2 linked regions of the Caenorhabditis elegans genome follow. The protein of the gene in region 1 purifies or fractionates together with the protein of each later gene. This does not show direct contact. Each region holds a gene or a part of one and is shown in the gene's direction. Other genes may lie near its edges. The genes, in order: C53A5.11 and tag-267.

Region 1 (4,148 bases):
CCAAGTGGGAAATCGTAATGTGAATTGAACGACAACCGGTAAAATCTACAATTTATTCGTTTTTAATTCGTTAAAATAGAATAAAACAAATTCAAAGCTTCAGATGTTTTTTTATTTATAGCAAGTACATTTATATTAAACCAGCAATGTCTGCACAAATAGTTCAAATAGGGAGAGAAGTGATTAAAAATTACGATTAGCAATACATATTGTTGCAAAATCAAATACCTTAGTTCCTCAGATAAATGATAAAGTTACTGTAATCACCACTTTCATATTGCAGAATGTAATGTTTATACTTTGATCGTTTTAGAACTCATGAAAATTATATTTCTAACCGTAAAAAAAAGATGAGCAAGAGGAAACAATTTCAGGTTTACAGTGAGGAATATTTGGTGACGTGTACCTGAACCACATTCAGCAAAAAAAAATTCCAAGCAAAGTTTTTATCAAAAATTGAACGACTTTTTGTGAGTTAACTGAGTGGAAATCAATTCTACGTGTGACGTCATGAAAACGCCTTTTCACTCATTCCACTCTTCATTCCACCTTCAGCTTTAAATCGCTTTTTCAGGATATATTTCTGAGATCTAGGAAGACTTGTGCCTCTGTGAAGTCTTCAGTCAAGATGACATAAAAAATAATTTCCTAATAACTTTCAATATGAAATACCATTTCTAAAACTGGATAGGAATTTCTATGTGTCAATTACAGTATCACATTGATAATACGATTCCTCATTTTTCTTTCGATAAAAATACAGGTTCTTTCAGCAAAGAGTATTCCGATTCTATATTATCGGACCATTATTTGATTTACTCATTTTTTTTCAGTTTTTATTCTCTTTTAAGGTAAAAAACATTTTACCTTAAAAGTGGATTCTCGGGATTTCGTCTAACGTTAATAACTTTTGGCAGTCAAAACAACACGCTCTATTTGTAAAGAGTTTTACGGTTTTAAAATTTTTCAGTCAAAGTTTTGGTAAGTTGACTAGTTTTCAAAAAAAATCGATTTTTTTTGGTTAATTTTGAGCATCTCTGCGGGTTCAAAGAATTACAATGTTTATTATTAATACAAACAATTGAAATGGAATCAAAATAAAATAAAGTCACAGAAGATTAGTTTTTTTTGGCGTCTGTCAGTCAAAATTGATATAGTTTTGGATGCAAATTAGAAATTTCCAAATAGTTCTTGAATACTTTACTACGTTATTTTGAAATTATAGCATCATAAAAGCAAATAACAAACTGTTTTTATTGCTCTTCACTAAACGAGAAGATACATAATCAGACAAACTCGATGAATCATGAAATGAATACAAAATTCTATATAAATTTAATGTTAGCAAGATTTGTCATCTCCGCTTTCTCGGCGCTAAAAGATTCCTCAGTAATGCTTTGAAATTTTTTTGAGTTGTTGAGTAAATACACACTTATAAAGCAACGCAGCATAGATCAAAGTAGAATAAAAGAAGAAAGCTTGTACCGTAGGCTTTATCCTTATTCTGTAGTTTTCCTTTTCACTTTTAGTTTTGTTAAACTAATTTTTTCTCAAACGTTTGATTTTCAGATAACTTCTCTTGGCATTCCTCGTCACAGGCAAGGAATTATTGGTGTCGAAAAAATGACGAATCACGTGAGACAATGCTAATTTATTTATATGTTCATAATTTTTCGATTTCAGATATTTTCAGATTCAGAATCAGATCGAGAATCTGGTGCATCAGAGTTTGATTACCACAGTGACTCACAATCAGAAGAAACACAGCATCCAAAAGCAATAGAAATGAGAAATCAGTTCAGAAACACTACCGAAAATCTGATTCAAACTTTGCAAATGTTTTTTGGAATATTAAGTTTTGAATTATACGAAGGAAAAGATAATTTAAAATGCATCACAATGATTCATGATATTACTTCATTGATGGAAGTTGCTGATACAAAATTGAAGAACTATATTAATACTTTGAATTCCAAAGAACAAATTTTTATGGTTGATGATGGTGTGCTGAATATGGATCCAATTTTGGTAGCAGGTAAGATTTCTCTTTGTATGTTAATAACAAAATGTCTGATTCTGACACTGATTGTGAGACATTATGCATACATCGCTAGCTAACTTCTGTATATTTCACAATTTAAAATATACTGGAATTTTCAAATCCATTGCTAAAGGACAAATTTAGATGTTTCGTTGTAATTAGGATATCTTGTACCGCAAGTTTTCAAGGAGGCATCGCTGAAGCTTTGAATGTTATATCATACTACATATGTATATAGTTAATTTGCAATATGCACAAAATGCTTCAGCGGTCAGGTTATATCATACTATGTATATAGTTAATTTGCAATTTGCACAAAATACTTCAGTGGCCACAATGAGCCGATCGTGATAGAAGACCGCACGATCCGCGTATCACGGCCGTTTGAGAATCGCCGTGCGCGCATCCGGATGGAAATAGCGCAAGTTAATTGTCTATCTTCTCTCTTTTTCAGATCGAAAACAAAATTCCCGCGAGCCACTTTTCATTGGATACTTCAAACCTGATACAATGAGCTTCATGCCTATTGGAAGACTTCCTAATCCAAAATCCCATTACGCAGTGGTATCCAGTTCAACGAAAGTTTTTATAATCGGAGGAATGAATAATGGAACATATTTGAATCGTGTAGAGATGTTTGATAAAGAGAAGGGTATTCGTGTAGAGGTTTGTTTATTTAGCTAGTGAATTTAATGAGCAAAAAGCTTTACAGTGTACAAGGCTAATGCATGGACGAACTCGGACATCTGCATGTATTCATGAGGACGCAATTTACGCAGTGGGAGGATACGATGCGACATATATGAGTTCAGTTGAGATTTATGATATTAAAACTGGAGGAGACTGGACCACAGGCCCATCATTAAATAACCGTCGCGCCGATGCATCAGTTGTATCATTTTATGGACAACTTTTTGGTAAGTTCTAGCAAGAATTCAACCTTCTCTTAATTAATCATGGTTCAGTGCTTGGCGGCTTCAATGGAAAAGATTATGAAGAGACTATTGAGAAATTATCAGATTCGAAAGACAAGTTTGAGGTTTGTGGTAATATGGTTGGACGTGCAGGTTTTGGTGCATGTGTATTCCGTGGAAGAATCTATGTGGCTGGTGGATGGAACACCCCTTGCAACACATTAAAAACCTTTCAAAGTTACGATCCATTGACAAATACATGGAAAGATGAGCCATCGATGAATACGGGAAGAAAGTATTTTAAGCTTCATGCTACGAATGAAGCAATCTATGCAATTCGTGGATGTTCTCATGACTGGGATCTTATTAAAGAGACGGAGAGGTTTGATCCACAGACTTTGACATGGGCGACTTCTTAATACAGATGTTCTCAAACAGAATTATGATAAAAAACATTGCGTTTTCATTTTTGGTCTTGCTATAATTGTTCCGAAGCATAAATTGAGTAAATTTCTTGAATATAAGAATGCAGTTTCTCTTCCAGGATTTTTTTTTCAGATTTTAAATAATTGTGACTCATTAAAAAATAGAACATAATAAAAATAAAGAGTTTCTTTACATTAAAAAACCCGTCAACAATGAATGAGCAATGATTCGGTGAGAAGAATGTTGATAAACAAGACCAAATATTTCGAACTAATTTGAAAAAAGTTAAGAAAAAAGTTGAAAAAAATTAGAAAATGATGATGTTGGACCGGTTTTCAAATGCATCTAATATACTGTTTCAAGTGTTTCGAGATCTTGGCAAAGGGAGTTGTGCACATTTTTGTACTGATTGATTGAGTCTCTAGTTGCGTCGGACATATCCCTGATTCATTGTGGGACGTTCCGCTTTAAATTTGCAACGGAGAATTCGCATGTATGTGTGACGGAATCTGGAAAGTTTTGGCATAATGGGTAGTTTTGTGGAAGAAGATTTGGCCGTTGCGTACGAGCCTCATACCGCATTATTTATGATTTTAAACTAAAGTGCTTGAAGTCGTCATTTTCATTTTCAAATTTCATAACCAGAATTTAATAAACATTCAAAAAATAACCAGACACAAGAAAAACCATTAATAGGTTCGGCCCAGAGCTTGGCTGTTCTGAGTTTTTGCATTAAACTTTCTTGGATTTTTTTGTGCTTTTCGTCT
Region 2 (3,304 bases), on another chromosome or scaffold:
CAAAAAAAGTACAAATTTGTTTGGAAACAGTGGGCGAAAATGCGAAATTTTTCGAAAAATGTGCAAAATTTCGCAATTTCCGGATGGGGACTAATCGGGAAGATTTAAGGCGGGTTTAGGCAAAGTTTTCAATTCGAGCACATATTCGGTCAGGCGGTCTGAGGGCTCCGTTGGGCGCCGAGCCAGGGACCAGTGGAGGCCCAATTTGTGATAAAGGCTAACATTCTCGTGGTCCAGACATTTTTCCAGCGCTAAGACGGTCTGAAAATTGGGGAATTTAAGAGAAAATTTAACTGAAAACTGGGCTGTGTCGATTTACGGGGATTTTATCTAGATTTTTTCAGTTCTTTTGGTTAAAAAAAAAAATTACAGGCTTTTCACGGCACAATTTTTCTAGATTTTTCGAGTTTCTGGCGGTTTCTTTCCACATTTTTAGTGGTTTTCAGTTGGTTTTCTTACCTTAAATCAAAGTGTTTCAAACATTTCAAACTAAACAGTTCATAACTGCCATTGCCTGCTAAATATTTAGCAGACCAACTGTGGGTCTGCTAAATATTTAGCAGACCAACTATGGGTCTGCTAAATATTAAGCAGACCCATTCAAAGTGTCTCAAACCACTTTTCAGATGAATTTTATTGGAAAATCGGCGAAAAAATCCTCGTAAATCAACACGGAGCCGAATTATCTCGCCTAATTTTTCGAATTCTTACCCTCCGATTCAGACATAACACCGGCCACATTGAGCATCCAATTGAGCAACAGCAAAACGCTAATCCACATAAAAGCCAGCGCGATGACGTTTGTACGTGGCGTTTGAGCACAGAATTTACGCGAGACAGTGTCGCCGAGAGTTCTTCTGGAGCAATATATCCGGTTAGTTCGGGCGGATATTCCGTGTTGAAACGGGAATTCATGCCAAATCTGAAGGAAAATTCGATGATTTTTTTTGATAAATATAGCTTTTTTTCTCTTAAAAACCACCTACACTGTGATATTTCCAACTCCACGAATCACGACGGGTTCCTTCTCCTTTGGAATGTATATTGGCTCGGATTCCTCGTCACTACTCGGCATCACGTCTATTTCTGGCTCTTCGCCGTCACTGGAAACCGACGCCGATGGGGCTGGTGAGCCATGTGACATTTTTTATGAATTTTCTCTGGAAAAATGTAGGATATTTTAGGGGTTTGGTGTTAATTTTGATGTGAGGAAGCGGCTGAAGTTGAAAATGTTTTAGAAAATTCATAAAAAATGAGAAAAATGCCGGAAAATTAACAGTGAGCCGTCTGGAAAATAGAGAAAAAAGAAAATCAATAGAAATTGAGAACTCAAGGAGACCACGCTCTCTCTGGGTAAAAGGTTGTTTGCAGAACGCATGTTTCCGAATGTCACAGTATAAACGCGAGGTTTTTTAGTTGAACACCTAGTAAAAGTGTTATAAAATGTAAGATTTTATTAAATGAAAATAAATTATTTACTTTGTAACAAGAAAATCTAAAATTATATGTCATTTACTCGTTGTTCCTCATTTCTCCAATGTGAAATCTCTCAATTTCGTGAAGTCTCTTGTGGTATGCAACGGCGCCCTATCGCACTTTTTTGTGAAACATATTTTTTCCTTTTTTTGCAGATTTTCCAATTTTTTTTCGCTAAACGCATTTATTTTTAATATATTTGTGTTTTATAATTTTAAAAAATCTGAAATTTTGCAAAATTTTCCAGTAAAATGGGCAAAAAACGAAAGCACCAGGACTCGGACTCAGAGCAATCTGGAAAACGGGTAAAAAAAGTGGTAAGAATTGAATTTCTTGATTACAACTTTTTTGGTTTTAATTAAATGTATTAAGGAAGAAGCCAGAAATGGTGTGGCTGACATGACGATCGATGAGAGCTCGGATTTTCAAGTTTTCCTCATCAAAAAACCGATTGGTGTTAGTTTAGAAGATTTGGAGGCGCTAAAATGGTCAAACGACGAGGAAGTGTTGACGAAAACCAAATTGAAGACAGGTGAGAGTATTTTATTGAGAAAAATCTATGAGAAATTTTTCAGAATCCGGAGTTTTCCGAGCTATTGTTGCGCCAAAGTCGAAAAAGGAGCGGATGGTGCATATTCCGGCGTTCAGGGAGCGGGAAGAAGCTGACTCGAAGAATATTAAAGCTCGTAAGCATAGAATTAAGCTTAAAAGTTGATAAAATTACCCAATAACAATTTTTTTCAGAGAGTTTCGTCACTGGCGCCATCACAATTCTCCCGCAAGAGGTGAAGCCCAAGGTACTAGGAGGATTTATTTATGAAGAAGGCGAAGAACCCGTTGAAGGCTCTTCAGAAGTCCATCCAGGCCTGAAAAAGATCAAAAAGACCGCAATTTTGGACCTGGAAAGCCGTCAACAACGTAACAAAGCCTATGGAACCACTACGGAAGGCGATGGAAAACCGAGAAAACTTGCAAATATTATCGAAAAAATGAATTGAAATTTACTTGTTGACACATTTTTTGTTGAATTTATCTTTTTGTTTGTTGATTTTTCGTTTTTTTAGCTAAAAATGTTTTTTTCTTAATTTTTTTCTGGTTTTTTAAATCGATTTTTGGAAGTTTTAACATCTTCTGTTAATATTTATTTGCCACGTGGCATTTATTGATTGAAATTTAACATTTTTCAGTGGTTTTTTGGGAATTTTTGATTGGAAAGACGAGATTTTTGCTGAGTTTTCCGTGAGAGAACTAGAAAAATCGCAAAAAAAGTCAGAATCTCACAAAAATTGTGTCTAAAAATTCTCCAAAAATATTAGTAAACTAAAATTAAAATTTTCTACAAAAATCCTTATTAATTACACAAAAAATTGCATTTTAGCTTTTATTTTTCCAAATTTTTCGGGAAAATTTGTGTTCTTCTAGGTAAAAATGGGGTTTTTCAACAAAACTAAGGAAAAACAAACGATTTTTAAATATATAATTCGTATAAACCGTCCAAATCGCTCAAATTTTTCAGGATCTCATACTAAATGGAAGTAGACGGTGCTTCTGACGACGAACAAGAGCAAATTATTCGAAAACTTGTCAAAAAACCGGAATTTCTATCAGATGAAGAGGATGATTCAGTTGAAGATCAAGTCGTTTGGGAATGCGACGTAGTTGTGTGCAATTCCACACCAAATACTGAAATGTTCTCTGTTTCGTATCCTTCGAGCAAACGAGACGCCTGGGATGCAAAGCGATTTCCAATTGCCAGATATAAGAAGAATGTTCGATTGGTACGGAAAAACACTTGAAATTGGCTTGAATTCATTGAAAATCGGAAAAT

What was found.
Region 2: the proteins of C53A5.11 (region 1) and tag-267 fractionate together in Caenorhabditis elegans (co-fractionation; one large-scale study listed by BioGRID). This does not show direct contact.

Annotation. Positions count from the first base shown.
Region 1 is NC_003283.11:14,561,266-14,565,413, forward strand, and holds C53A5.11 (Kelch-like protein 10), read left to right. Parts: upstream 1-1,623; coding exon 1,624-1,635; intron 1,636-1,683; coding exon 1,684-2,035; intron 2,036-2,495; coding exon 2,496-2,707; intron 2,708-2,753; coding exon 2,754-2,958; intron 2,959-3,006; coding exon 3,007-3,374; downstream 3,375-4,148. Other genes in the region: srt-32 (Serpentine Receptor, class T), read left to right, coding at 1-28; Muscarinic acetylcholine receptor gar-3, read right to left, coding at 3,803-3,890.
Region 2 is NC_003281.10:639,067-642,370, forward strand, and holds tag-267 (Major sperm protein), read left to right. Parts: upstream 1-1,723; 5' UTR 1,724-1,727; coding exon 1,728-1,793; intron 1,794-1,848; coding exon 1,849-2,008; intron 2,009-2,051; coding exon 2,052-2,162; intron 2,163-2,220; coding exon 2,221-2,474; 3' UTR 2,475-2,553; downstream 2,554-3,304. Other genes in the region: tag-266 (Golgin subfamily A member 7/ERF4 domain-containing protein), read right to left, coding at 91-261, 712-922, 987-1,144; W06E11.1 (RNB domain-containing protein), read left to right, coding at 3,006-3,254.